Cricetulus griseus: one gene and its partners. The protein of the gene in region 2 purifies or fractionates together with the protein of the main gene of each other region. This does not show direct contact. Links are inferred from orthologs where the notes say so. Each region holds a gene or a part of one and is shown on either strand. Other genes may lie near its edges. The genes, in order: Acot9, Kcmf1 and Abhd10.

What was found.
Region 1: the proteins of Kcmf1 (region 2) and Acot9 purify together in Homo sapiens (affinity purification with mass spectrometry; 3 studies listed by BioGRID and IntAct, with this or other methods). This does not show direct contact. The link is inferred for Cricetulus griseus from reciprocal best matches to the Homo sapiens genes KCMF1 and ACOT9.
Region 3: the proteins of Kcmf1 (region 2) and Abhd10 purify together in Homo sapiens (affinity purification with mass spectrometry; 3 studies listed by BioGRID and IntAct, counting the BioPlex papers as one, with this or other methods). This does not show direct contact. The link is inferred for Cricetulus griseus from reciprocal best matches to the Homo sapiens genes KCMF1 and ABHD10.

The regions. Positions count from the first base shown.
Region 1 is NC_048604.1:90,714,028-90,724,308, reverse strand, and holds the start of Acot9 (acyl-coenzyme A thioesterase 9, mitochondrial), read right to left. Parts: upstream 5,706-10,281; 5' UTR 5,507-5,705; coding exon 5,487-5,506; intron 367-5,486; coding exon 269-366; intron 1-268. UniProt on the Homo sapiens protein: Mitochondrial acyl-CoA thioesterase. Catalyzes the hydrolysis of acyl-CoAs into free fatty acids and coenzyme A (CoA), regulating their respective intracellular levels. Regulates both mitochondrial lipid and amino acid metabolism.
Region 2 is NC_048601.1:64,623,669-64,634,282, reverse strand, and holds the start of Kcmf1 (E3 ubiquitin-protein ligase KCMF1), read left to right. Parts: upstream 1-4,417; 5' UTR 4,418-4,594; coding exon 4,595-4,610; intron 4,611-10,614. UniProt on the Homo sapiens protein: E3 ubiquitin-protein ligase which accepts ubiquitin from an E2 ubiquitin-conjugating enzyme and then transfers it to targeted substrates, promoting their degradation by the proteasome.
Region 3 is NC_048597.1:44,858,668-44,869,007, reverse strand, and holds the start of Abhd10 (mycophenolic acid acyl-glucuronide esterase, mitochondrial), read right to left. Parts: upstream 6,476-10,340; 5' UTR 6,414-6,475; coding exon 6,299-6,413; intron 3,595-6,298; coding exon 3,411-3,594; intron 114-3,410; coding exon 2-113; intron 1-1. UniProt on the Homo sapiens protein: Acts as an acyl-protein thioesterase that hydrolyzes fatty acids from acylated residues in proteins.

The DNA of each region.
Region 1 (10,281 bases), on a different chromosome or scaffold from region 2:
CGTACTGCTCTTGTGGAAGACCCTAATTCAGTTCCCAGCACTTGTATGAGGTGGCTCAGAACCACCTGTAACTCCAAAGAGAAAGGACGCTTCCACATGCACATGTATTCTTGTGCACACCTCACCCCACCCACACATATATGTAATTAATTACAAGTCAATCTTTAACATGCACATTTCATTACTGCTGCTATGATTCCATGCACAGCCCAAGGTAAATGGGCTTGCTCATCATGGAGGCACAAAAGGTAAACACAATCACGCTTGCCTTCACGCATGTGTAAGGGTCCTTGTTTTGGGGTGTACTGGTATCCTTGAGTCAGTCCTCTGCCATGAATAAAAAGCCCCCTGTTCAAGGTACAAAGCCTGGAAAAGAAGAGAAAGCATACGTAAGTTTCCAGAACTGCTTCTCTGGGAATCTGCAAGGTGTCATCTCCTCCAGAGTACCCAATCACACACCAGCTTTAGTACATTCTTTGTTCTTTATTATCACACCATATTTCCTCAATAAGTAAGATCAACTCAATTACCAGCTAATCATTGTTGAACTTTGAATCAGCCCTTTGCACTCAATGAAAAGTACTTACTAGACTTGTCTCGAAATTTCCTAGGACCCTAATGAAAGAAAATAAAAACTACGTACTCAAAGGAGCCTTACCAATCCTCTCTAAAATAAATTGGATAAACGGATAAGCTGATGTTAATTCAGTGTTGCTTAAGTGTTGACAACCATAGACTTATATACACTTACATTCTTCCATATTGGTAATAACATATATCAATCTGGCATGGTGGCAGATCCCTGTGAGTTCAAGGCCATCCTCATCTACATAGTGAGTTCCAGGACAGCTAGGGCTAAATAATGAGATCTTCTCTCATCTCTCCCTCCCCTACCCCCCTTACACACACACACACACACACACACACACACACACACACAAACACACACACTCACACTAGAAATTAACAAACTAATCTGTGAAAGCTGAAAACTAACTGAAGGGAGAAAGAATTCTAAACACTGTCAAGTTATTCTAGCTCAAGTTACTAGCAAATTCTTACTACATAACATCAGGATAATGACTAACCAAAACATTACATTTTCACCTTTTCTTAGAGCAAGTTACTGAGTTACAGCATTCAGTGAAAGTCACTCAGTAAAAATATTTTGTAAAAATCTACCTACATATAGTTGACAATTATGTGCTGCTAGAATAAATCTTTTACCATTCACCAAGCCAATTATTTCAACTGCAAAAGAATATATAATTATGCATACTTGCTCACTGGAAATTTTAACTCCTTAGCCACCTTGTCATCTTCTTTAGCTGTGACACAATCCATGTTGGCCCACTAAAACAGAAATGCTCACTGCAGGACTTTAGTCTTTATGCCCTCTTTATTCTTCATCAATATGGCTGCCAGTCACTTGACATTTTTGTTTTCACACAGTAACCTTTCCCTTTTCTGTACTTTTCTACACGGATTAATGTTCTAGTCTTCTTGATCTTTGCCTTCAAATTTGAATTTTCTCACAACATGATTTAGATGTTCTGTTTTTCATCATTGTATACATTTTTATATAAATTCAAATCTATTACTCGTAGAAGTAGGTTATGTATCCCTGTATCCTGCTATCTCATAAACCAGGTTTCCGAAACAGAACACACCAAATTTTAAAGAACATACATGGGATAGAGGGTGATAAAGTCACAATCCTGGCAACCTGAGTTCAATCCCAAGGACCCACAGAAAGGTAAAAAGGGAAGAACTGACTCCACAAAGCTGGCATGCATGCACACACACACATACATCATGCAAGTATTTATACAAACACACAATAATATTTTTTAAATAAAAGCCACTGCAGAGATTGGGGAGATAGCTTAGAGGGTTCAAATGTCCACAACCATATAAAAATTCAGGTGTGGCTGTTTGGGTGCCTATAACCCCAGAGACAGGAAGACTAGCCTAAATGACGAACTCTAGTCTCAGTGAGAGCTCCTGTCTCATGGGAATAAGGCCAGGAATAGAGCTGGATACCTAGTGGCCTCCTCTTGTTTTTGCATGCAAAGAGACAAACATACTTGCAAACATACATGCGCACACACCTCCACCAATATGCACACACAAATATGAAGAACCCATTGCAAAAAGAAAAGCTAATCATTTCCATTGCTAACATTAACTGAAAGACAAAATGGCCCTGAGTTCACACCCCAGTAACACAAAAAGGGGTAACTGAATACAGACACCTGAGTCAACCTATTTGCAAAGTCAGTCTCACAGCCATAAGTTTTGTATGCAGCCTTAAAAGATGGGAAATATATTCAAAGGCAATTCAAAAAACTATGAAAATAAACTGTTTCAACTCAGCAAATAGCTGAGTTGGTTGAGTGCTGGGTTCAGTTTCCAGTATACATAAAATCAAGGGTGGTGGCACATGCCTGCAATTGCAACATGAAAAAGGTAGAGGTATGTGTCTGTATGTGGATATGTGGACATGCATGTTGGTGTGTGTGGGTGCCTGTGGGGTCCGGCAGAGGGCAAGGACTCTTCTGAGCTGGAGGTACAGGTGATTGTGAGCAGTCTGACATGGGTTCTGGGATTTGAACTCAGATCCCCTGGGAGAACAGCAAGTGCTCTTAACCACACAGCCATCTCTCTAGTCCCTGAACTGTGTATCTTCAAATTTAAAAAAGGACTTATAGAACAATGATATGAAAAGGGATGGCTGTTTAACAGCTGTATCCATATATTAGTGTTTTGAACTGACTCACCTAGACCAACTTCTAATCTCATAAGCTCCATTAATGATAAAGGAGTGCACCTTTTTTATTTTCTGCATCATAGTAACACTCCATCTTTCTGTTTCAGACATACAAATAACTCACCACTGTGTTACAACTGCTCACACCATTCAATATGGTACTGTGCTATAGGTTTCCAGTCCAGGAACTGTAAGTTATAACATGTGGTCTAGGCTGTGTCATCTGTGTTTGTGTACGCACACTCGGTGGTGTTGTATAATGACAAAATCTCTTAACAGCACTGTGCTCTTCCTTATCTCTGATAAGCCCCCAGGAGCACCAAAACAAAATCCCTAGGCTTTTAGAGGAAACTGTCATGGGTCCTTTAGGATACTCAGGCCAAAGGACCCTAAGATTGAACATTTCTAAGGAAATAGTACAGAGAATTTCAGCCTCTCCGTGGCTTGCCTAGGGAGCTACAGAGTCACCTGAAGTTATGAAAAGAAACAGCTTGGCTGCATCTTAGGTTCTAAATATGGAGAAAATGGCAAAAATTGTCAGTATATTATCAGATAGTTCAAGCCTTGGGGGGTTGTTAGCTCAGTGGAAGAGGACTTGCTTAACGTGAGTGATGGCCTGGGCTACACCTCAGCTGCAATTGCACAGGCATAGTTATTCATATGCCCAGAACTCTGAGAAAATACCTCAACATGGAGACTAAATCAAGTGACATGACTCATATGTGTCTGGGAAGAAGCTACACAAGTGAACACCAAATAACCTCATCAGTTCAGACAGCCTATACTCACGTAGGGATTACTTCTCTACTAGACATTGACAGAAGGTTCAATAGGACTAACAAGAAAGGAACACAAAGGTATAGAGTGCAAGGAAGGACTTCTGAACTGCTAGAAGAGCTCAGGAAAGGTGTTGTGGGGGTTAGAAGGATAGCTCAATAATTACAACCACTTCTTTAAAAAAATTTTTAGATTTTCTTTTTATGTATATGGGTGTTCTGCCTGCAGGTATGTCTGTGAATTACATGTGACAGAAGAGGCCAAATGAGGAGGTCAGATCTCCTGCAACAGGAGTTCTTGAACCTGGTTCCTCTGGAAGAGCAGCCACTACCCTTAGTCACTGAGCCAGCTCTCTAGTCCAGTGAAGAGTACTTCTTGCTCTTGCAGAGGACCTGGATTTGGCGACCAGCACTCACATGGTGGTTCATAACCATCTTTAACTCCAGTTCCAGGGGATTCCCTCATGACCTCCACTGGCAGCAGACATGCTTATGCAACACATGCATGCATACAAGCAAAACACTCATACACATGAAAATAAAGTTTTGCAACACTTTTTAAAGGTCTTATGGAAGAAGGCACAAGGGCAAGGCAGCAAAACCTGTAGAAGTCTAAGGAATCATGCCCTTCTTTTAATGGCTTTGAACCTGTCTTCAAATAGTTTGACAAATGTTAGGTGCTGGTGGATGGTGAGATAACCCACTTGGTTCACCTGATAGCAAGATTCCTAGGAAGAATAAAGGCAGATCAGAGACCCCTATCGAATTAGTGGGACACATGTCAAGGTCAATCTCACCAACAGCAGGATGATTTCTGAACCTAGAGCAAGCGTCATCTCTTGGAAACCAGGCAAGAGAAAAAAAATCCCTGCATGTTGTGGGTTAGGGACAGCCAGATATGCCCTACAGTCTAAAGACCTTAGTCCTTAACTATGCCAGTTGGAAAGTGGTCCAAGAAAGCACTTTCACTGCAAGCACCTTTCTACTTCTCAAAGCCATGTTCTAAACTGGCCATGATAATGTACATCTGTAAGTCCCAATAGATTTTAGAAAAGTTGAAAGCTGAAGCGCTGTCAGGGGTATGAGGCCGGCTAGTTCTTCTTCTCCCAAACCAATGAATAAATATACAGATGTGAACCGGAAGTGGTGGCACATGATCTTTAACCCCAGCATTAGAAAGCTGTAGGCACTCTTTGAGTGTGAGGCCAGTCGGGTTGATATACACATCGAATTTTAGGGCAACCAAGATTACATAGTGAAACCTTGTCTCAAAAATAAACAAGGGGCTGGAGAGTTGGTTACGTGGTTAAGAGCATTTGTTGCAAAAAGAACCTGGGTTTGATTCCCAGCACCCACATGGAGGCTCACCACTTCCTCAGGCACCAGGCATGCATGTGGTGCACAGACGTTCATGCAAGGAAGACACTCTACATATAAAGTAATAAAAATAAATCTAAAAAATAAAAACAGATGAATCAACTTGTGAGAGCCAAACGGTACTCTACAATCTTTGCACATGTGATAACCTACTTAAGTCAGATTCCAAGTGTGTCAAGTGTGTAACCTCCAAAATGTTTTTCAAAGAGAAAAGGGCTGGCAAGGCAAGGCAAAGTGGAACTGAAAATACTGACTGGCTTGTTTTCGGAAAGGAGGCTACCCCAAGGTTCCAGCCACACCCCTGGTGAGCAAAGGGATAGGAATTTCAAGGGAACACCCTGAGTCTTCCCTTTTAAGAGTGCCAGCTGTCACTAAAGCAGGGCGGCACTCTTCCAGACTAGGCTGTCTGGTGGGCCCAGCTCAGGGCTGCGGGTGCTTTTTCCTGTAAAGCCAAACACCGCTTCTGTCCCGCCCAAGGCTTCTTCCGCCCCGCTCTGCGCGGCAAAGGCGTGGGCATCCCAGGACAGCGCCCCTCTTAAGCCCTTCCACACACTGCCACCTACCGCATCGCTGCCCGCTTCATGGCAATCCACTGCCTAGCCACGGGTGGACAACCGAGTCACTCGCACTCTTGGGCAGAGGCAAACAGGTGACAGAAGAGCGTTGAGTGTGAGCCTGATTCCAAACACCAAGAACTGCACAGGACCGAATCTTGCTTGCTTCGCCACCTTGGAGAGTACGCCACAAGAGCACCCGGGAGGGGTGGGGCCTCACTGTCGGAAGGGCGGGGCTATGCTGCCCGGAGGCGGGACTACCGCGTAGAGAACGAAGGTCCTGATTGGCGGGTAGCTGGAGACGCAGTTAATGGAACTTCCCATTCAATCAGCTAGGTGGGGTCCTAGACTAACAGACTGGACTCTTCCCTCCTTTGTTAAGGAAATGAACCACTCCGCACAACTCGTCAGAGCGGAGTGATGTACTGGCTGGGTGAACCTCTGCTGGAGTTGAATGATTTAGTCCTTGACTCTTGCAGGTTTATTGCCAGTCCGTGGTTCTTGCCCTTGGCATCATCTGAGCAGCTTTCCAAAATATGGGTACCATGCTTGTTCTGCGAGCAATAGGTAGACTGAGGCCAGAAAATAGCCTCCAATTAGAAGGCAGCCTGGGCTAAAGTGAGTTCTAAGCCATAAGAAATATTGTTCCTGTTTTTATTTGAAGTTTTGGTTTTAAAAAATGCTTAGGGAGAAAAACTAAGTTGAAGAGAATTTTTGAAGGGTGGCCCGTGCCTGTTATCCAGGCAACCAAGGAGAGTGAAGCTGGAAGATCACAAATTCACAATCTGCCTGGCGACAGAGAAAGTTCCAGTCCAGTACCAAATGAGGAGGAAAAAAAGACAGAATAGATGAAATCTTCAGGAATTAGGCATGATGGCACATTCCTAGAGGAATCGATTGTGAGAAGGTCTTAACAGGAATTCCCTCACCCAGGCCAATGGCCAGGTCCTGAGTCACAATCTACTAATATAGATGTTCGAATTAGTGACCATTGGTGAGAGTAGGAAACATTTTTTAGGAAAAAAAAAAAAAGGCCTGAGCAATGAACCCCATAGACTCCACTACAAATGATATTTAAAGTGGGCAAAGTTTCAATACTTGGCTCACTTATCTTAGTTCTAAAGTCAGGGAAGCCATGTTAAAACCAGCCAACCTAGCATTCATATGTGTCTCTATCTCAATTTTTAACCAGGCTGGAAAGACAACTCAGCAGTCGTGAACACTTGCTGCTCTTGCAGGGGACCAAGGTTCCATGCCCAGCACATACATGCAGTGCAAAACTATCCCAGGGGATCTGGTGGCCTCTTCTGGCTTCTGCACATACCAAGTCACACACATAGTACACATAAATACCTACGTACATACAAGCAAAGGCTCATACACATAAAAACATTTTTTTTAAATTCTTTTGATGTCTTAGCAACCCTGGTGTCTCATTGTTGTTCTTATTGCTATTGTAAGGCATTTATGCATCACAGTTTGAAAATCAGGGATGGGAGGCAAAGTAGTCACAAAGCCAGACAGGAAACATGTAACAACTGTGTAATGGTGAAAATCCCTGTCCTTACACAACCCATCTGCCAACTCACCATTTTTCTTACTTGTGTTCCACAGGTAATGAAAATTTCAAAACACCTAATGATAGATTGACAGGTACATTATCAATGTCTTTACTACAAGTAGAACAATGCATAACAAAATCTGATTATATGTTATAGTTTAGTCATGTCTTATGATCAAAAAATTTTAATAGTCATATTTCCTTGAGATGCTGAACCATATAGATTTTGGGTATCTGGTTTAAATAAATAATTTTCCTTAGAGACTATGGCATCCACTTTCAAACTAATTTATGTTATAATTTCATAGGCTAGAGAAACTGTGTTTTTAAAATTAGCTTACTTCCCATATTATATAGCTAATCCAAAATTATCTACATGAACCAGATGTGATGGCACATGTCTGAAATATCAGCTACTTGGAGACTTGAAGTGAGAGAATTACAAGTTCTGAAGCTAGTCTGGGATTTGTAATGAGTTCAAAGTCAGCCAACACAAAATAGTGAGACTCTGTCTCAAAATAAATTAAAGGGAGGCCATGTTGCTGAGATGTTAGCTCAGTGGTAGTATTTGCCTAGCATGTGTAAGGTCTTGTATTTGAGCCCTATTGCCAAAGGGTTTGGAAAGGGTACAGAATAGATTAGGAGACCATCCTAGTTAATTTTCTATTATTCCTGTTAAGGAATTATTATTCTATTATTTCTATTAGTCCTGTGAATGAACCATCTTAGAAGTAGGTTTGAATGTCCATCTGAAACACATTATCTTTCTCAAACTTTTATTTATTTACAGGAAGAGATTTTAAGTTTTTCATCATGTGTGTGTATCTAGAGGTGTGTGTGTGTGTGTGTGTGTGTGTGTGTGTGTGTGTGTGTGTGTGTGACAACAGGTGCCTGTGAAGTCCAGAATTGGAGTTACAGGTGTTTGTGAACCATTGTCAGCCAACAGATGTGAATGTTGGGAACTGAACTTAGTTCCTTTGTAAGAATAGTGCCTGCCTATCTTAGTCACTATTCTATTGTTGTGAAGAGATATCATGACCAAGGCAACATCATGACCCTGGGAGGTGCACAAAAGCATATTCCAAGGACAATCCTATGCTTTGGAAGACTGAGGTCACAGGACTCTTGTCATGTTTTCTTACAAGCAATCAGAATTCTTCTCACACAGCTTCATTCATACACTGTATTCTAACGATCATTGTGTCAGGGTACATGGTGGCAGGCAGACAAACATGGTTCTGGAGAAGTGACTAAGAATTCTACATCCTGATCCATAGGCAAATACACACACACACACACACACACACACACACACACACAGAGAGAGAGAGAGAGAGAGAGAGAGAGAGAGAGAGAGAGAGAGAGAGAGAGACTAGGTCTGGCATGGCTTTTGAAGCTTCAAACCCCATCCCAATGACACATTTACTCACACAATCATACCTCCTAATCCTTCAAATATTGCCACTCACTAGTGACTAAGCATTCAAATATATGAGCCTACGAGGGCCATTATTATTCAAAATACCACAATTCCATTAACTTCTAATCCATTTTCTAGCCCTCTCATTGTTTTTGCTTATATATTTTTATTTGAATTTAAATATCATTAATTACATCATTTCTTCCTTCATTTTCCTCCCTCTAATCCCTCTACACATCTTCTTCCTCCCTCTCAAATTCAGAGCCTCTTTATTTTTATTATTATCATTACACACAAATATATGCATATTTTTTACACATACATATATATATGCATACACAAATATATAAATATAGCATGTTGAGTTTATTTAGTGTTGCTTGTATGTGGATGATTTTATGGCTGACCAATTAAAAGGCTCATTCATGGGAAAGACTAATTCACCCTTTCTCAGCATCCCTTAATTGCCTGCAGTCCTTTGTCTAGTGATGGGGCCCCTTGATATTTTCCCCTCCCACATTAGCATGTCAATTAGTGTTCTCATTGTTTAGGCAGTCATATTGTTGTAGTATGTGGGTACACCTTCCCCATCATTATTAGCAGATGCAATCTCACATCAGACTTTGTGGCCTGATGGTTCCTACATTCTTCCCTTTCATTCTTCCTCAGTGTTCCTGAGCCTTATGTGCAGGAGTTGTGTTATCCACTGGGGATGGGCATTCCAGAATAAGTTTTCTGTATATTTTAACCAGTTGTGGTTTTCTGTTATTGTTTCTATCTGATGCAAAGAGAAGCTTCTTTGATGAGGAGTGAGAGCTACATTTATCAGGCAAAGATGCCCTGTGAACAAACACATTCATTAAATAGCAGCCAAATTAACTGGATTCTTTCCCATTTGCTACCAGAGATCATGATTTATAAAACAAAACTGAAAGCTGTAGCTCAATGGTTGAGCATTTGCTAAACATGTGAAAGGTCTGCAGTGGTTTGAAAGAAATTGGCCTTCATAAGCATCTATGTTTAAATACTTGGTACCCAATTGACAGAACTCTTTGGGAAGGATTAAGGGGTGTGGTTTTTTGTTTGGAGGAGGTTGTCACTGGGAACAGGTTTTGAGGTTTTAAGGACTCATGTCTTTCCTAATGTGCTCTCTTCTTTGTTTGCTATATGAGAAGTGAGCTCTCAGTTGTTCCTGCCACCATACCTTTACTCTGACATCATGGACTCTAACCCTCTGAAACAATAAGCCTAATCAAGCTCTTTATTTATAAGTTGTCATGGTCATGATGATAAAAACCCACATGATTTTTATTGGTCACAGCAATAAAAACCCAAACTTACACAAAGTCCTATGTTCAATCTCCATAACTCCAAAATGAAATTTAAAAAGCAAAAGTGTAGGTGCAGTTTCCCTGGATAAAAACTGTTTCTCTAGGGACTAAAGAGTTAGCTGAGAAGTTAAGAGCTCTGGCAGCTCTTCCAGAGGATTCAAGTTCAACTTCCAGTACCCACACGGCAGCTCAGAACTGTCTGTAACTCTAGCTCTAGTGGATCCATTGCCCTTACCTCCTCAGGTACAAGGCACTGCAATCAAAACACTTATACACATAAAAGAAAATTGATTTTAACAAAAACCAATGATTTCTCTGAAGAACTTTGATGAATAGAGTAGGTCACAAGTTACCCATAACTATCCTGTATCCATTAAGCCTGGCAAAAAATAAGTCATGTGGTCAACTGACTATTACCAGTACTCAAGCCAGTGTTCTAACACAGAGAAATCACATTTAAAATTTCATAGACAATGCCTGGAGCTGTGAATG
Region 2 (10,614 bases):
AACTGGGGCTAAAATTATCTAATCCCCCAATAAACAGAAAGGAGAGTGGGTGCAGTGGCCCAGAGCAGGAATCAGCATGGGAGAAGAAGGCAAAGGGTCTTGGCAGAAAGTCAGGAGGCTGGAAAACACATCCAGCCTTACACAGCTAATTGCAGCTCATTCTACAGGCAACAGGACCTTGCTGTTGGTTTAAGTTTCAGTTTATTTGCATATGAGTATATCACACGTGTTCCGATGCTTGGGGAGCCAGAAGTGGGGAAGAGATGCCCAGGCAGTGGAGTTGCAGGCATCTGTGAAGGGCCAGACCTGGGTGCTGTGAACTGATCTTGGATCCTCTGGAGGACCAAGCACTGTTAACCACGGAGCCATCTCCCAGTCCCCGTGGTGCTTCTTTAATTGTCTTTGAGACAGGGCATCAATATAGCTTAACCTGGTTTTGTCTTGACGCCATCTCCAGAGTGCCAGGACAGGCATGCACCACTAAACCCAAGTCTTGCTTTGCTTTCTTTTTTTAAAAGTACTTTTCAGACATCTCCTGATGAGGCTGGCTGGCCTGGAACTTGCTGAGTAGACAGACCTTTTCTTCTTTAACAAACCCCACAGAACTTAATTTTATTTATGTATATGCACCACATATGTGCAGGTGCGTGTAGAGATCAGAAGAGGCCATTGGTGGCTGTGGGCCACCTGAAGTGGGTGCTCTTAGCCATCTCTCTAGTCCTACTTTGGGGGCAAGATCTCATATGTGGCCATAGGTAGCCTGGAACGCATGTAAATCTGGCTAGCTTTGAACCCACAATTGTGTTGATTCTGCCTCTTGAATGTTGGAATTATAGGCTTGAGCCACTATGCCCAAACACTATTGGTTCTCTTGCTGAAGGACAGTTTTATTGTGGCATACGGTTCTAACTTCTGACAAGCATATCCAGCAATGTAAAGAATTGCAGTCACAGTACAGAATATCCCCATCATCTCAGAAGTTCTCAATAGACAAACTAGCTCCTCAGCTGCAGGTAATTGCCTGTGTGATTTTTGCCCATATGATTTAATTTCATACTTTAAGGACACATAGACACTTCCCCCAATCTTTTTTTTTTTTCTTTTTTAAAACAGGGTGTCACTATGTAGCTCTGGCTGTCTGGAACACCAAGGGAGACCAGGTTGGCCTCAAAGTCAGAGACACTTTCGTAAGTGCTAGAACTAAAGGCATTCACTGCTTGCTATGCCTGGCTCACTTCTCCCAAATCTTAATATCTTACAGAACTACAGAAAAACACAAAAGCCAAAAAACTGTGAGCCACGGCCTGACTCACAGAAGTCACAGTGAGGGTGACAATGGGAAGATATTATATACTGGACTACAGACTTTATTTGAATCTCATTATAATGTATTTGACTGCTTGTTTTAAAGAACACAACTGGGCCATCATCCATGAACATAGATTAGCTTGGTAAAGACACTTGTTACTTACAAGTGACACAGGACAGATCAAAGAAGCATAGGAGAGACAGTGCTAGGAGGAAACATTTCAAGGTGGGGGAGGGGAAGCAAGTCAGCATTGGGAACAGGAAGATCTGGAGACTTCAAGGCTAACCTGGGGTACTAAACATCAACAAAAACATCTTGTAAGTGGTTGAGCATGGTGATCTGTGCCTGTAACTCCAGAGTTTGGGAAGCTGAGGCAGCAGGAGAATACTAAATTGGAAAAAAATCATTTACTGAGCAATTTGGCATAAAGATTATACTCTCTCTCTCTCTCTCTCTGTAACCCAGGCTTGCCTTGAACCCACAGCAAATATAGTTTTTTTTTTTTTCTAATGGCATTTCCCATATGGCAGCAATGCAAACAAGTGATTTTATTTATATTTATTATTGCTGTTTTTGAGGAGGGTCAGGCCTTGAATTTTGTGTGAGTGCATGAGCATGGAGGTTGGAGGACAATGCATAGGAGTTTTTCTCTCCTTCAACATATAGATCCCAAGGATGAATTCAACAGCAAGCTCCTTCAGTTACCCAGCCAGTCCAGGCCTGGAACATCTGAGCTGAATTTACAGGAATTTACCACCACCCTCTGAAGAGGCTGGGCTTTGTTTTGAATTTAAAGGCCCAACCTCTGACTAAGTTGATAAAACCTCATAGCTATGGTAATGATCCAGTCTAATCTTACTGGAATAGAAAGTTTCTTATGCTTATTCTTCCCAATTGAAAACAGCGAATCAGAGAACTGATGGTAGTTCCTTGGAAGTCAGACAGAGCTGCATATTTGCTCCCATGAACAAGACTGGCTAACCCTTCAATACAATAAAACTTGTCTTTCAATGTTTCTGTGCCTTAGTAATATTCATACCCATAATACTGAGTTTCCTATATATTAGAACTTTTTCCTGTACTAGGTGTACACACCACCTCCTAGGTCCAAGTCCCTTCCTCTTCCTAAATAGTTTCCTAGTTTCATGTCCAATTTTTCATACTTACTGGTTTTCCTTTCTGTAGGTGTTGCTTTTGTTGGCCACCCTAACTGTTCCGGCATTTTTACAGGACTGCTTAAAAACTTTGATATAAATTTATATAAAATCACCATTCAGTTAGGAGAGTGGTGTATGTGAATTGTTAAAAGCCTGATTTTCAGTTAGAGAAGTTCAGGAACTAGACTAATACTCCAAATCCTTTGCCAATAACTTAAAAATGATTAGAAGGATCTTACCCACTAACTGTGTCATTGTTAGGCAGGCCAACTACCAACCCTGCTCTACCTATGTAACCCTTACTTTTGTTTAGCTTGAACCTCTTCCTCCAACATCCGTGTCCACACATGAAATGGGACTATTTCTAGTGATCTAGTCCTCATTTAAACCCAAGTTAGGTGGGAGTGTGATGGAAGATGCCTGTAATATCACAACTTGGGAGGTGGGGATGGCAGGAAGATCAGGAGTTCAAGGTCATCCTCGGCTACATAAGGGATTCATGCACAGGCCTGGTTACATGAGGTTCTATCTCAAACAAAACCCCCCAAGTTAAAACAAACAAACAAACAAACCCAAAACCCTGGTTTATTTCTCAGTGATAACAGCTATATACACACAAGTTCCTTGGGCAGATGGGGGTGATCTACTAAATATTTCCTCGAATTAAACCTTTTAATATTTTTTAAAAAACAGGCATATCTTAAATCATATTCAATAAAACATTGTAACGAACAGGGTCCTTCCTCTGCCAGACAGCTTACATACTAAATCTTGGTACTGTACCTCTTCTGCATCTATTTAGCTATGCCCTTTCAGAAAGCCACGGAAGCCAAGGCAACCAAAGCTTGAACCGGGCCACACAGTCAGTGGAGGGTGGGCAGATTAGGAAAATCGCCAAAGCAAGCGGTCTTCTGGAACCCTGTTTCAGTAAACTTAGCTGGGAACTTTGTCCAATTCCGAGTGGACGAGGACAAAATTCACTACCGAAAGCGAACGAGAAGGAGCGGAGGCACCGCAAGGTTAAGTCACTTGTCCAAGGTTACACCGTGCATATCAGCACCAGAGTCCAGGGCTGAACAGGTCTTAACTACAGGGCGCGATCTCCCTACGCCACGCCACCACTGACACGTGGTCAGGGGTAGTCTGAAGTATTTGCTGAATTAGTAATGCCTGAAAAGAAAGTTGACTGTGAGGAACCTGGGTGAGGCTGGCGGAAAGGGCATACACATCTACACACGCCGCACAGAAAAGCAGTCCACGAGCAGAAAGCAAAGCAGCCCCGAAGCCCACCAAGTTTTCCCCGCAGCGCATTCGGGCGGGCGGTGGCCGGACGACCCAGCCCAGCCTTCAGCCGGGGTGGGCTCCCAGGCCTCGGCCGCGGCCTCCCCGCGGGGCCCGGGGGGACACGCAAGCCCCGGAGGCCCGCACGACCGCCCTTCCCTTCCGAGTTCCCCGCTTTCAAGGAGCACACAGCAAGCACATGTGTGTCCCCGAGCGGTCCGCGATGGCCCGGCCGCCGCGCGCGACCGGGCGCTGGGGAGCCACCTCCGGGGCGTTTCGCGTCCTCGTCCTCCCACGCGCAGCGCGGCGGGCCCGCGGCTGGGCTCGGGTGCTGCGGGACCGCGGCCGGGCCGCCGCCGAGCACGGTCGCCCGCCGGCCGCGGGGCCTCGGGGCGGCGAGAGGCGGGGCGGGCGGGCGTGCGGGGGAAGGAGGCGGAAGAGGAGGAAGAGGAGGGAGGGGAGGCGGCGCCGAGCCGGGAGACGGGCGGGGGGCGGCCGGGGGAGGGACGAGCGGGATTTGCGGACGCCGCGCCGCTGCCGGGAGCCGGCGGGGGCCCAAGAGTGACGAGTCAGGGCGGGCGCGGGCGGAAGCGCGGCCGCGTCGGAACCCGCCTCCTGAGGAGCTAGCCGGCCAGGCCCGGCCCCATTCCCGCCCCGCGCCGCCTCCCGCCGCCGCGCCGCCGCCGCCGCCGCGGGAGCGCTCCCCTGCCCACCCCGCCCCCGCGGCCGAGCCCGGGAGTCGAGTGGGAGTCGGCCGGCTGGGCGCGGGCAGCGCCGGGAGCCCGCGGTGGGGGCACACTGCAGCCGGGAGCCCGGGAGGGGCCGCGCCGCCAGCGTCTGAACTAGGATGTCCCGACATGAAGGTGAGAGCCGAGCCCCCGCCCCCACCGCCTGGGCCTCGGCCTACCCCGCCCGGGGTCCGGGCGCTGCCGAGGCAGCGGGCACCGGCGGGGACGCGGGCCGAGCCCGAGTCGCGGGGCCGGGGCCCCGAGGGGACCGTGGCCCGAAGAGCGAGCGACGAGCGGGGAGCGGCGGCCGCCAACCGTGGCTTGCGGCGGCGGCCCTGAGCTGGGCCTGGAGCCGGAGGCGGGCGGCCGGCGCGGCCGGAGGCTTTGCACTGTCATGGGCGGGAGAGGGGGAGGGGAGGCGGCAGGGCCCCGTTTACCGGCGGGAGCCTGGCTCTCGGGACACATACCGGACGCCGAGGCCTGGCCGGCCGGGCCCGAGGGCACCGCGGGGCCCCGGCGCGGCCTAGCTGCGGCGGCTCCCGGAAGAGCTCGGCGCGGTGGCCAAGCCGGGTCGCGGCGTGCGGCCGCGGCAGGGGAGTGGGGGTCCGGGCCCAGCGGACGCGTCCGGGGTCCGGGAGACTACGGGCGAGCGGCCGCCCCGCCTGAGGGCCGCGGCCGTGCGGGCGGGAAGACGCCGCGGCCCGGGCAGCCCTCGCTGACTGGAGCTCGCCCGGCCTCGCGGTAGGCCTCGGCGCGTCCCTGGGCTCGGGTAAACCAAGTTCCCGGGGCGGATCCAGCCCGGCCGCGGCGAGCAAACTCCCTGCTCCGTCACCCGGCTGGAGCGGAACTCGCTCCCGGCCAGCCCCGGGCCCTCACCCGCGTGCGCTGCCCACCGAAGCAGGCTTACGGTCGGGGGCGTTTGGACTTCCGCGGTGCCCTGTGAAAACACGCTAGGGTTCTGTGGCTACGAATCAGACCCCTCACGTCTCAGCCCCACGGCACAAAGGCACAAGTGTTTGAAGGCCGAAGGATAGGCGATGAACTGGTGAAAAATAAGTTAACTTGAATTTACTACCATATGGTTTAGGGAGGGGGAGGGGGCTATGTGCTCTTTGTTTCACTACAGCAGGTTTTACATTAAAAAGTAGTCACCCGACTTAGTGAAAAGTTTATTTCACTACAGTTAATGGAAGATTATAGAAGTGACTAGAAAGTTTCCTGTCCTTTGAATTCTCAAGACCTGGATAGGTGTTCTGGGAGTGGAGAAAGTTTGTGGAGGTAGATTCTAGGGTGTGCTTCACCGAGGAAAGGTATTCTTAGGGAAATCCAGACCATGGATTTTCTAGATTGTAAAACTCTCATTGATTAACATATGTTTAGGGCAAGTTTGGGAATTTGCATACCTAATGGCAAGACTGAAATTGACTCCAAACATTTTAACAAAGAGACTTCTTGGAGCATTTTTGATTACTAACTGTTCAAGTTTTGGAATAGCAGGGTACTTACTTTAGCCCCAATCAGGAACAGAAATTTGGAACTCTGTTCCAACATACCATTCCGTATGCTTAATGGGAATGTGTCCCTTATCGCTGTAATTTGGAAACAGTTGTAATTAAGGTTATAATCAATTCCATTTGGAGATATTAAGGTTAGTTTAAATTGCAGCAGTAGGTGTGTTGACCGCCTTCAAGACAAAATGAAAGTTAGCATGGGCTGCAGGCTCTAATTCAGGAACTAGATTAAAATAACAGAATAATAATCTAGAGAGTTACGTGTCTGAGATCTTTGCCCCTCCAGATCCAGAATGTTCTTAATGAGCAGTAGCCTGGAAAAAAGAGTCCTTTACCCTCAGATGGTGTGTTATCGTAATTAAAATGGCTTAGGTAGATGTAATATCCTTTAATAAAACACACTTGTAATTTAAGTCTGTCTTTCCCTGTTTGCCCCTGGAAAGTGTGCTTTTATAAAACTTGTGTTGCCTTTTAGTTACTTGACATCTTGAAATCTGCAACACCTTTCTTGTCAACTTAATTTCAAATGGGTGTGTTGAAGATGTTGTACAGTGTTGTACAAGTGAGTTTGTATTTATATAGGTGCGTTAACTAAGTTTAGTATTTTGTTTATTTACTTTGAGGTAGGGTCTTATTAAGTAGCCCTAGCTAGCCTGACCACAGATTCTGCCTGCCTCTGCCTTCCCAAAACTATAATTAAAGTTGTGTGCCAACAGACAGTTACAGTTTAAGGGTCTAGTTTTGGCCTAGTGCAGGGATAATAGTTTCAGTATCACATCTGTCCTGGAGATATGTCTGTGTTTTGTAGTATATTATTTCAGGCAGTAATTATTTTCATCTGGATGAAATATAGGGTGCAATCCCAGGTTTTTACTTACCTCTCTCTTCTTTGGGCCAGCTAAGCCTGTTTCTTTCAGCTTTGTTTTTCCAAGTCAGGGTTTCTCTGTGTAGCCCTGGTTGTAACCCAGTCTATAGACCAGGCAGGCCTTGAACTCAGATCTGCCCAACTCTGCCTACTGAGTGCTGGGACTAAAGGTGTGTGCCACACTGTCTGGCCTCAACCTTGTTTTTGAGACAGGGTCATGGTACCGATTCTTGGCAGGCTTGGACTCACTATGTGAACTAGGCTGGCCTCACTTGCTACCACTCCTCCATTTGCCTATAGCCACCTCCCTCTTGTGACACCACACCTAGCTTAGCATTTTTTTTTAGTGGTCTGATTTTCTAGCTCTTTAATCATCTGTCTTCAACATTCTCTGCTGTTGTTTTCCTCCGGAGTATGACCCAGAACTGGATGTAGTAGTCTAGTGCAGGCCAGAGCTGTGCCGCCTGTAATGTTCTTGCCTTCTCCTTGCTTTTCCAGGCTTCTGTGCACAAGTAACTTGTTACTTTGTCTTCTCCCAACTCTAACCAATTGCTCTGTAGTATACAGATGATGTAACTTTGGACCACACAGCCCCAAGATGAACACCTGTCAAGATCAAGCACTGGACTGCTCTGAGAAAAATGGATGCAGCCAAGGACACAGAGAAACGCTCTAGGCCAGGGTTAGCATACATTCTCCAAAGTAAAGGGCCAGGTAGGCAGTGTTGTCGGCTGAGCCAGCTGTGAGATCTGTCACTAGAATGGTTGTGGCAATGTTCCAATTAAAACCTTATTTATGGACACTGACATTTGAATTTCATACAATTTTCATGTGTCATGAAATATGATTCCTTGAAACCCTGCCACTATCACCACTTAAAAATGTAAAAGCCATTCTTAACCAGTGCAGCCAGCCAGTCAAGAACTGGTGGTAGCCACAATTCATCCAAGCATTGGCGTTTGCCTGACACTGGCCTTCAGTAGAGGTTTAGAGTTGGGCGGCCTGGAATTGGTGGGAGACCGTACCCTTAGTATGGCAATATTTCCATTGGGTCATGAGCAAGTGCAGGGACTAAGCTAACTCCAGCACCTCATGAGGTAGCACCACATAGGTTGGGAGAAGGGATGGGGCATAGGCTCCTACCTTTTCAGGAATGTGTCCATGGCGGTGGCAGTGCCCCACAACAGTGATGTTCCTGTTTTCTCTGTGACTTCACTGGGGAGAATTGCAAGGCCTCTTTTCACTTCATTTTGAAATGTGCTTTTTATATTAGCAAACATTTCCCAGGTGGTAGCATCCAGTCACTTTATGTTCTCTATAGCAACAATATCTAGTTCTGTTTCTTACACACCAAACCCATTGGTTGTCTGCTTTCTGTGTTTAGTCTCTGATCGGGGCTGCAGCTGTTGTGGCTCTGCTTCTTGTTCTTTTTGAGACTGGGTCTTAGGTATCTCTGGTTGGCCTTGATGACCAAGAGTGACCTTGAGCTCGTGATTTCTTCCTTCCACTTCCCCGCTTACAAGCAAGCCTAAATTACGGGAGTGTAAGGGCTTGAACTCTGAGCTTCACACTTGCTGGGTAAGCATGTACCAGCTAAGCTGCATCCTTGGTTTTGCAGTGCATGGTTAACCTGCGTCATAAGGCTCTGGATTCCACCACCAAAGGAAAATAAAAATAGTGTCAGGTATGTGTCGCTTGGCTATTAGGTATAGCCACTCTTCCAATAAGACTGGAGGATCCCCTGAGCCTAGGAATTTAATGCCAGCTAGTTCCATCCAAAGAAAAACAGCAAAACATTCAGGCTCGGGCCTATATTTCCAGTACCCTGTCAGTAAGTTGGGATAAAAGGTTTAGAGGTCCAGGCCATCCTGGACTACATAGCAAAATCCTGTGTCTTACACACACTCCATCTTAATGTCATGTTTTTGTAAACAACATATTTGAAATGTATGCGATTCAGAGTTTAAAAGTCAGGAAATAGCTTTGTAAATAAAAACCTGTCAGATTGTCAGCTCATTATCTCAGTTATGAGTCTTCTAGTTGGTTATGTGAGTTAATAGAGAGCTTTAAATCCTTGAGCTGTTTTGTTACTCTGTAAAATGTACTGCTAGGTACTGAGGGATGTGGGGAATAAGGAGACATACACAGCCTTTCCTTTAAAGCCTGGTAGGAGATGTGCTTTTGTAGACAGTTTCCGAGGAAGCACTCCTGAGAAGGGTCCACAGAAAGAGATAATAAGCAAGTGGATGCCAAAGTGTACGCAACTTTGTTCATGCCTCTTTGCTCCAATTTTAACTTATTTAGTGTACATGAGTGAGGGAGGGTATGTTTGAGTTGGGGTAACTTAAGAAGTCGGTTCTCTCCTTTTGCTATGTGGGTCCTGGGTCAACTCTGCTCACCATGCTTGAGTGGCAAATGCCTTTACTTCCTGAGACATCTTGCCCCGTTTTGCCCAATTTTAGAAAGGGAATCTATTTTGATTTTAATATCTTTTGGTTCCCCCTTCCTTCCTTCCTTCCTTCCTTCCTTCCTTCCTTCCTTCCTTCCTTCCACACAGGCTGGCCTTGAACTTCTGTGTTTCCACCTCAAGTTTTGGGATTACAGGTGTGTTCATTACTTTATGTACCAACTTTCAAGTACTTTTTAAGCTTGTTCTCTGATACTCTTTATTAAGTAGATATTGCATGTATTTCTTTGTTCAGGAAAGGGGGTGGTCAGAGGGCAACTTTCAGAAGTGGGTTCTCTTTTCACCTTCACAGGAGTCCTGAGCTTCAGATTTAGATTGTTGGGTTTGGTATAGGCGCTTTACTTAGCTCTGCTACTGGCAGCCTTGCTACTGTTAAGTTTTCTGAGACAGGGTCTCATACAGTTCTCACTGGCCTTAAACTCTATTTAAAGTTCAGAGACTCTGAACTTCTGATCCTCCTGCTTTCACCTCCTAAGACCGGAATTACAGGTGCACACCACCATGCTGTGTTTATGCAGTGCTGGTGATCAAACATGGAGCCTCATATATGCTAGGCAAGCAGTCTACCAACAGAGCTACAACCCCCAGTCTTTTCTTGTGCTGCCCTTGGCAAGAGATAAAATGGCTTGAGGTGTCCTTACATTTATTAATTTGCTTGGGTGATTTGCAGTGAGTTCTGAGGATGGAACCCAGAGCCTCCTACATGCCAGACAAAGGAATTACCATCAAATTAATACTTAGGCCTTTTTAAAGTTTTGATACTGTCTTCCTTACTGTGAACTTATTCTGTGTCCCAGGCAGGCCTTCAGCATGTGTTTCTCCTGCTTCAGCTTTCATTGTAGCTGGGCTTGCAGGCCTGTAACACAAGGCTGTCTTTACCTGACTTCTGTTCCACTAGCTTTTTGAAGGTTTTTACTTGTATAATGACAGTGGATAGATGGGACAGGTGACAAATTATTGTTACTTGTTTCTCAGAGACATCTAATACTGTTTGCTTACAAAATATGAAACACAGAACTATATAAGTCATTAATCTAGTTAGTATCAGTTTATGGGCTTTTTTTTTTTTTTTTTTTTTCAACACTGGGGATTGAACCCAGCTCTCATGTACACATGCTGTAAGAGCCTTGCCATGGGGCAACATCCCTAGCCCTCAGCTTTGGTTTTCTGAGACAGGCTCATGCAGCCCTAACTGGCCTCAAACTTGATGTGTCGCTGAGAGATGACCTTGAACTCCTGATCTTCTTGCTTCTGCCTCCCAAGTGCTGGGGTTACATGTGCCATTATACCTTTTTT
Region 3 (10,340 bases), on a different chromosome or scaffold from region 2:
CCTGTGGTCCTTCAGCTACATCATCAAGTATAGAAAGTACATCCTTTCTCCATTTCCCCACTGAGCATTCTGCAAAGTTACCATCTGAATTTCCAACTCCTGAGTAGTCAAACCTGGAAGAAGGCAAAACATATACTTACACCTAAATGTTTGCATGTGGAAATCTGTCCATGCTTGCTTCTTTGATTTTTTTAAAGCAAAGTAGGACATTCTTCATTACTACAATGACTAAACTACAGTAAAACATCACTCTGCGTGTATTTTAGTATTCTACCCTTAGTCCAAGTTATGATCTCAATTAGACCAATGCAGTAGTTTTCTAAATCTCTTGTCATTTCTATATTTCACCCTCATAACCTATTCCTAGACAGGAGTCAGAATGAGCCTTTTAAATGAAATCCCACATCATATATGCCTTGTATATTTAATAAAATTCAAAACCCTGACGGCACTTCCTTGACTACCACTCTACCACTCTGACCTCATTTTAGAGATCTCTTTCCCTCCCAACCGAATTCTCACTTTCATTCTTGAAGTTAACGGTGTCACCATCCACATTTCTGCAACAGGAACGTTCTCCTCTACTTGGCATACTTTATCTCCAGACATCCATTAGATATCCCTCACCTCATTCAGTCCTTTAGCTTGTAAACACTGTATCTCATGAAAAGTGGGCTCTGACCATTCATATGCTAAAACTGCTTTTCTTTCACAGCTCTGTACTAGTATTGCTTTATTTTCTTCATAGCACTTACTGCTACTTAGGACTAGAATCAACTTCACCATGAACTCCTCCTTCTAAATTTTCCTAGGGATCCAAGGTCAAAGTCTGTCTAATCGCTGAATTTTAACTTTCCTTCTAGGTCCCGATTCAATAAATTATGAAGTATCCTACCATGTCCCCCAATTATCAAAATCCCCAGTCATTCTAAACTACTCCCAATTCCTGGCCAAACCACTTTATAACTATGAGCTTTTGCATGTCATTCTACTGCCTCAAAAACTCCCCAAACGCCTAGTCATTCTTTAAGCCATACTACTTCGTTTAGTGAACTGTCCTCATTCAGAACCTGTGCTCAAAGGCACAGAGGCAGAGACAGGTGGATCCCACGGGCTCCTTGCAGCTAGTCCAGCCTACTTGACAAGCTTCAAACCAGCGAGAGGAACCCTGTGTCTGAAAATAAGGTGGAAGACTACTGAAAAATCAACAAGCAAGGTTGTCTCCTGGCTTCCACATGCATGCATGGTCATGCTCACACATGATCATGTACACACACAGTGAATTTGGAAGGCTGCTACACTCACTGATATTATAATGCTATACAAAAAGAACTTGATTAAACAATCTGTAGTGAAAGGGCTAGTTTATAAATACATATTTATATGACATCCAATATGCAAGAAACTACATTATACCTGGAGCTGGCTATAGCTTCAAATGAAGTTGAAGAATCAGTAAACTGGTGATTTCTATTTTTATGTGTTTTGCTGTATGTGGCTGTGTTCCTACCTGTGTATGTATGTGGTACACAGGCACATGTACACATGTTTGCAGGGGCCAGAGGCTGACAGCCAATCTCTTTCTTGATCACTCTCCACCTTATACAAATAGTCTGAGGCTCACTGTCGCAGCTCATCTGACCAGCCAGCTTGCTTAGGAGATTCCCTTTCTCTGACTCCCAAATGCTGGGATTCTGGGCAGGCGGCTACACCCAGCCCACCTTTACATGGCTGGATTTAGAGATCCCTACTCTGGTCTTCACACTTGCATTACTCACTGAGCCATCTCCCCAGTCCTAAAATGCCCATTTCTTTATTATTTTTCAGACGAAAAAGCAATGACGGCGATATTCCTGATAATTAAGTACATTCTCCTTAGCGGTCTCTCTCCATGGACAGAACTGCCCTTCTCCCCACATGTTTATTGTTTCCAGAGTCCTGTAGTGGATGCTGTAGCCATGCCTGCGAGGGGGTGGTCAGAGTGATGTAGGGAAGGTTTAAGAGTGAGGGACACTCATGTGGCAGCCCCTTCTTTGGCTTTCATCTTTGGCTTGCTGTACTTACTGCTGGCTAGGTCGCTCTGTAAGTAAGGCTTTTCCCTATTAAATTCCCTTGTATTTCTACCTGGCTCCATATTGGTAATTTCCCACATTAGAGTCCCTTTGTAAAGTCTTGCCCTTCCATTCCCTCCTCAGGATCTCTCACCTTATGTAATCTCTTCTTTTTTTTGAAGCAATTCTGATGAGTACTTCTGCCTAATAACCTGCATGTATTTTCACTCCTTGCTTTAGGGCAAGTACAGTGTTTCATAATTCTTAATACATTATTCACCTCCAGTCTTCAAGGCAAGTTAAGTCAAGAGATTTAAAAATAGTTCTGAGAATGAAAATAAATAACTTTGCTAGTCTGACAAAGGAAAATGGACTAAATCTACCTTAATAACATAATTTCTGCAAAAATACTGAACAGATAATGCCTAAAAGTTTTAATGTAGCTGTATTTTCTAGAACTACTGAAGCAGTATTAGCGAGACTATTCTTCATAACATTTAGATGAATAGATTTTCAGGCTGTTTGTAGTAGAAAAGAACTCATAAGTTATCTTTAGTCCATCCTTCTACTGGAAGACAAACTCTTCTTCTACTGGATGACAAACCTCTATCTACTGTGTATTACTGATTTGAGATTCAGTTTTGGCCTTCAATCCTTATTTCTTCAATTCTACCAATGTTTTGCCCATTGAACTGTATTCCCTTCTTCAAAGTAAAATATCAAAAAATTTGATAAACCTAACAAATTTTGTTACATCAATATATTTTCATTAAAATATTTGAGTGAAAAGGAATAAATATAAAATTAAGTTTTAACTAAACACTACCCATCCTTGTTTATGCTCAAACACATTCAGATTATATAAGTGAAGGAGAAAGAAAACAGAAATGTAAATTATACAATATCAATCTTACACTATTATATTACTTTTAAAAATACTTTGTGTGTGTGTGTGGGTTGTGCTAGGGATCAAGTTCAGGATTTTGTGCTAAACACATGCTCTACTGAGCTATACTCTCAGTCCTAAATGCCTACTTTAGAAAGTAATAAACAGTGATCAGATAAGTCCTATGTCTTAGGACGTAACCCATAATAACAAGTGACTATAAGAAACCCAATGAGAACATGTTTTTGCCACACAGATTACTGTATCTAAAGAACTAGTTGGTAGTTCTCTTATGATGCTCTTTCCTGCCAATCCAGCCAGCTTGGCACAAAGACCTTAAAGACCCTAAACCACAAGATCAAAGTTTGTACACTACTAAAATAAACTCATCTACTCAAATGCTGGCATTTACTTCAGTTGGCTTCATTACAATGCTAAATGGTAATATAACCTCTGAAATGTATTATTCCTACCTTATATAGGCGTGACCTAGAGACTTGCAAAACTCCTCAATTGCCAGTGCCTTGGTACCATTCATATCAGAAAGATAGCCAGGGATGAAGATAATTCCTGGATTTTTGCCTTTTAGCTTCTTATAAGCCAGGTTTGGAAGGTCTGTTCGATTGAGGAAAGAGAGTGATACCTTTTGTCTGCAAGCTAAACAAAGTACACAAAGCATGAATTATAGCTTGAAATTTATTTTGGGAAAGTCACATATATTTTCAAATCTTAACTTTCTTAACTCATTGCATTTGATAGGAAATCAAAATAGGCTTTGTGCATGAGATTTTTAGTTTTAAAGTTACATAAAAAAATTTACCTTCTTAGAGCAAGGCCCAATCATACTCTTCCAAAATACACAATGAGGTGGAAAGTTCAGTGAAACAAAAGAGAGACTCATCAAAAAAATACCTTCATGTTGGTGCCTCGGGATTATCCTAAACAGTAGCAATTAAGATTTAAGATTTAAATACAACACAGCCTCTCCTCTCTCTGTTTTAACCATGTTTCAGGAGTTTCATGTTGTCTACTTTTTGACATATGAGTGGGGAAAAGAAGAACATGTATATTCCATTTTTCCCTTTCCTCTGCCTTTAGAACTGGCAAAATCGAAGGCACAGGCAATCCTAGATCTGGGAAGCAGAGGTACAATATTCAGGAGCTGGGGAGTACTTAGCAAGGAAGGGATGATGCTGTTAGTACTGAGCTCTTTTTGACTAGGTACCACTGACCTATTCCTCCCCAGGAATATCAAGAAACAGGTAAGAAACCACTGTAATTTCCTACCAACTGGGGTTTCAAAAGGCTGTCTTTAAAAAAAAATAACTTTGTATCAAGTATCATTCTTGGAAAAATAACTTCTCATACAACTCTGATTGGTGTGTTTACTTTTGTTGGCTGGCTTTTTCTAAATGGTACACATTTAAATATATCAGGACAAATTGTGAATCTTGATGGGCTAATCTAGTTCACTGTTTTAATTTCCCATTATAAAATCAACACTTAAAAAATCAAAGCCATATAAATATTAAAAAAATAAAGTCACACTTTCTTCCAAAGACAGGCTTGAATACATCTGAATAGTCATTTTCTGGGCCAATAAATCTTTTCTTTTAAAAACTTTTTTAAAAATTACTCATTTAGTGTGTGCACGTACATGCTATGCATCTATGAGGAACTAAGGACACAGTTGTCTCCCTCCACCTTGTGGGTCCAAGGTGCCTTTACTTGCTGAGCTGTCCTTGCTAGCCCTCATTTAAAAGAATAAACAGTCTGTGTGTGGTTAGTGAAACTTCTGGGTCTCTCCCATGTGTAATGCTAAAAATTCTCCCATTTTCAATTTTTTTCAGTTTATTTTCTTTGAAAAAGATGATTAGAGAGTCTAGTGTGGTGGTGCACCCCACTGACCATAACACTCAAGAGCTACAGGCGGAAAGGGATCACTACGAGTCCCAGGAGAGCCAGAGATTATATGGTGAAACCTTGTCTCACTAACACCAGCAAACCATGCACCCTCCCCGAGTGCATACAAAGAATCAAAAGCATTAAAGCTATCGCCTTTACCTGCCAACCAGATCCAAAGTTTCAGAGTATGGAAATATATGCCAAGTTTAAAACTTGGTGAAAAACAGAGCTTCTGGGGATCAGTTTGTGTTGGTCAATGGATTGTATCAGTATCAATGGTCATTCCCCATTTCCTTAATTAAACACACAAATAATCCTTTTATCACCTTTCAGACATTACCTCCCAACACATGAATTTCATCCTAGGAAGTTATTACTGATTTGTTTGTGAGCTACAAAACAACAGGCTCGCCGGGCAATGGTGGCACATGCCATTAATCCCAGCATTTGGGAAGTAGAGGTGGGCGGATCTCTGTGAGCTCGAGGCCAGACTGGTCTACAAAAAGTTCCAGGACAGCCAGGACTGTTTCACAGAAAACCCTGTCTCAAAATAACAAAAACAACAACAAGAAACCAAAACAACCAAAAAAACAACAGACTCAACATAAATCATCTCTATATAATAAGGAAAGCCTGATGAATATATGGCCAATGAATACCGCTAAAGAGATAAAGGAATATTTTATTCTTGCTAACAAATTGAAATACTATACTTTGATGAGATTACATAATAGTCAAGTTTTTTTTTGTTTTTGTTTTTCATGTGCAGTGTAAATTAAACTGGTTACATACTTTAAAAAATTTAACCATGCTAATTTATACAACGACATTACTCTTCCAAAACTCTATGCATCTATCTAACAGCTGTGTGGCAAGTTGCAAAAGGCACAACAAGGATATCATTCACAGATACATATATATATCTATATCTATATATTCTGAATATATGATATATACCATATATTCTATGTATGTAATATTAATACAAATTCTAGTTTTCATTGTGAAGCAATTATAGTTCTTTCCAGAAGAAAAATCAGATATTAGGTCCAAAGATAGCATCTACATGTACAAAGAACATGCCTCATACTCTATTTCCTCAAGTCAACCCTGGGCAGCACTAAGCGTTTACCAAAGTAACGATATGCAAAGCGCCAGAAGCAGCTAATACCCAAATACGATTACATGCACATCTGATTTTTTTTTTTTCCCCCCTGGTCTTAACGTTTGATTCAGAGACCACAGAAGCTCCTTACATCGCTGAGTAAGACGCTGCCAAGAACCTCCAAGAACGCCCCGGGGCCTCAGCAGAAAGTACTGTCCCCAGCCTTCCCCAAAAGCGTCCAGAGTGCCCAGAAAGCCTCAGAGCAGTTTTGAATGGAGCGCCAAGCAGGCTGTCTGCGGCTACGGGACGAACGCCGGGAAGAGGCCGAGTGCCAGCCTTCCCTACACTAACCTGGCAGCCACCATGCGCGGGGGGTCTTCCGGGCTAGCGACGCGCTCAGGCCTCGGTGCCGGCCGAAGAACGCAGCCGCCCAGCCCCACCTCCGACAAGGAACCCAGGCCGCCATCTTCCCAGCTGCCCCGGCGCCCGCCACGGACGTGCGCGGGTCACCGGGTCCCGAGGTCACGCGCGCGCAGCCCGCGGGGAGGCGGAGGTTGCTAAGCTGCGTCACGTGGGAGCTGCGGCTTGCGCGGAGACGCATGCGCAGGGTGGTGAGTACTGTGCCACTTTGTCTGCCAGGCCGTTCCGTCTCCCCGAAGGGTATTTGGCATGCGACATTGGGGCGGCCTTGGCCTGCTTTCTTCACTGTAAGCTGCGGAAATCTCGGCGAGGAGCCAGGGCCAAACTGAACCTTCACAGAAGGGAAACCATGTTGTCATCCGGAGGACCCAAAGACCTGTGACAAAAATTGCTAGGCTTCTGGCATTACCAGTGCCCAACGCTCCGTTTCAGCCTATGCGGGAAAGGTTTCCAAGAGGCAACCTTATCATAAATTCACATCATTGAAGTAACACCAGCATTTCTTGCTCTCCCCCAAACATTTTCCCACTCACCAGATTGCCAAAAATTCAAACGAGCACCCATAAGCAAAGATACTAGAAACACATTGGTTGCTAGGTGAGTGACAATCTAAAGTCTTTTGTCAGGCAATCTGTTCATGTTTATTACAATGCGCATAATTTTCGGTACTCTTTGAACTACCGTCCCCCCCCCCTTTGACTATGCTACATAAAAACACGAGTTCCTAAGGTCGTGTATTACCTATGACAGCAACATTTTTTTTTTTTTAAGATGAAAAAAGGTGGGGAACAATCAATGGCTATAGAAAAAATAATTAAATAAATTGTGATAATAGGGTCTCTAAATTCTGACATCCTTCAAAGTAATGGTAGGGGAGATCAAGTATCACTCAGTATATGCCTTATCTTGTGTATTCTGGTTGAAATTATTGTATTTAGTGCAATACTTTAGGTAAAACCGTGTTACTATTTGTCTTGGTTGGTTTGGTCAGCTTTGGGTATCTGGGAATAGGGAACCTCAACTGACAAATGCCCACACCCATCCTACTGGCCTGTAGGCACTTCTGTCGGGCATCTTCTTAATTGCTGACTAATGTAGAAGGGCCTAGCCCACCAGGAGCAGTATATGAAGGTGGATGGGTGGGTCTGGGCTGTATAAGAAAAGTAGCTGACTGTGAGCCTGGAAGCATGCTAGTAAGCAATATTCCTTGGTGGTCTCTGCTTCAAGCCACTACCGTGAATTCCTGCCTTGGCTTTCCTCAGTGATGAACAGTGACCTGTAAGCTAAATAAACCCTCTTCTCCCTTAAGTTGCCTTTGGTCATGCCATGCATCGCAATGACAGATGCAAACTTGGACACCATCCCTTGAAAGATTTGGGAGAAGTACCAGAGTTAAAAGCAAAGCCAGGCCTGTCTTTGGAGTCTTGAGAAAATGATCTGTTAGAACATACCGGAGAAGCTTGGTGGAGAAAAACGAAATAGATCTTATTTATTTATTTATTTTTTAAAAATCATTTTGGTTTTGTCTCGTTTTTCTATGTCCCATTCCTAAATTAACTAATTAAAGTCATCTTTGCCTGGAAATATGAGAAAACATTAAGGAACAGATCATAGCTGTACATTCCCTTTTTAGATTAGAGGAACTCCTGGTGACTGTGAACAGCATTGGAACTTCAGGAGAGCTCAGTACTATGTGAAGTAGGCAGGTGCCACCTGGATATGCTAACGTGAGACCCCACAAGTCCCATGGACTCTGAATGGAAGCTCTTCTGCTTCCACCTGCCGGTTTGGTGTCAATAAAACTCTGTTTTCCTGTCACTGTGTCTCAAGTCATTGGCATGATCCGTGGCCAGGGTCAAAGCCGAAGTTTTCACAGACCTATTTTGACACTTTGGATATAGGACCTTTCAGAGAGAGGACCAGAACAGATGTAGTCATCAAAGGACCGAATCACAAAGGCAGTGATGTCCAATGAATGCTACCTCTTGTATCTTACAGCAAAACTTATCCTTGATATTGTTAGCCCCATCGGTTTCTTCTACTCTATTTTCAGTGTCTCCTTGTACTTTATATGTAGCAGAATTTCAAAAATCATGTAAATTATCCTAATGAAAAAAGGACTGTACATATATATAGAAGGGGGAAAACCCATGGAGTGCTTTCTCAATGCATGCACTCTTACCAGCAAAACAAATCAGGAAGCTAAGTGGCTTTGTGGCACTGTCAAAAAACCTTCCCTGACAGTAATAGGCTTAAAGTAAAGCAGTTTGGGTTTTTTTGGTCATTATTCCTTCCATCAGCATACAAAAGTAAAAGGACATTTTTGTTTTTGTTTTGCTTTGTTTTGTTTTGAAGGCAGCTTCTCTCTTTAACCTCAGGAAGAAAGAGGTCCCCACGAAGTGGAGCCTCAGAGCTTTCCTTCACATTTGCATTATACCCTTAAGGGAAGTAATGGCTAATCAATACAAAAGGATAAGAATAATATGTAACATTTTTTGTTGTTTACCTCATTTTGTCAGTAATAGAAATGTGGCCAGAGAGGCTTCCAATTATTTTAGTTTATGAATTTCTAATCATAATGTCAGCACATATCAAACTTTATGTAGATTCTACTGTCAAATTTTGTGATTAACTCATCCTCTGTTATGGTACAGATAGGTGATTGCAAAGTGAAAGAAAGAGTTTACTTTCAAATGTGAAATCAGGTCAACATTTTAATCCAAACTCAATACATTTAACACACATATATCTAAAAGGTTCAGACATGCAAATTGATTAGAACACCCTTACAATCCTATGGAGAAAGTACAGTACAGAAAAGTTGTGTCTTTACATCAACCAACCAAATCTTCGCAATTACATTTTAATGTTTTAGACCACTAGAATTGAAGGGGGACTGATGCAAAAATCACAGATGAAAAATACCTCCTACAGTCATGATATTTGTCCCTCATTATTCAAGTAAAATCTTGCATCATCCAGTTGCAAAAATCTTATTATTGGTAACACGTACATAGGTATAAAAGTACACTGTAAGTTTTAAAAAAAATGTACCCAGTAAGGCCTGACAAAGTTTTATGGACATTTCTAATCATTTCATGTGTACGAGTAAGTAATGTCATTATTTTCTACTTCTATCCATTTGGCATGTTTTAGGAAAGAGTTCATTCATACTTACAAACACAAAACACAAAAACTAAAATAAATGGCACTTGGGAAATGATTATAAAAGAGACTTGCCTGAAGTCATTTCATTCAACAAAAATTATCTCTAAAAACAAGGCTATTTGTAAAGATATATGTAAAAAGATATAGCATAGAGTTTGTTAACTTGAATTTTGGTTGTCTCCAAAAAACAAGATATTTTAATTGTTCTGTTTGTCAGCAAAACAGTGATGGTTACATAGTTATCCACGGGAGGGCACAGGTAAAAGCCTTGCCCATAAGCAGGAGGAACTGGGCAGTCGGGAGGAAACTGGCTACTGGTTGCTTTTATTCTCAGCACCAGGAATGGGCAAATCTTCAACAGAACAGGCTCCTCCCACTAAATATTCCCCTTACTAAAAACTACCTGATGTCACAGGTTTCTGTTGTCTGAAATGGCCTTTTCTTAAAACAGAAGCTTTTTTATTTTTTAATTCTTTTAAGAAAGTGGTTTATGATCTATGCATAGTAGCTTCTTTGAGGGACACTACAGGGTTGGCATCAAAATACCATTTTAAAGTGTAGTTAGAGAGTAACACTGATGTTGAAGAGGAGTCCAGCCATGTCTTTGGTTTTCGGGCAGTATTTAAAAACTAAGGCAAAATGTCAAAAATCTGTTGCCTTCTATGTCATTATTTGCTTATTTTTATAAAATGCTACTTCCTACAAAGAAGGCAGTTGATTACCATTGGCAATGATTTGGGTGCTAAAACAATTTCATTCTAAGTACATATTTACAGACATTGTGTAAACTGTTCAGTTTATTTAA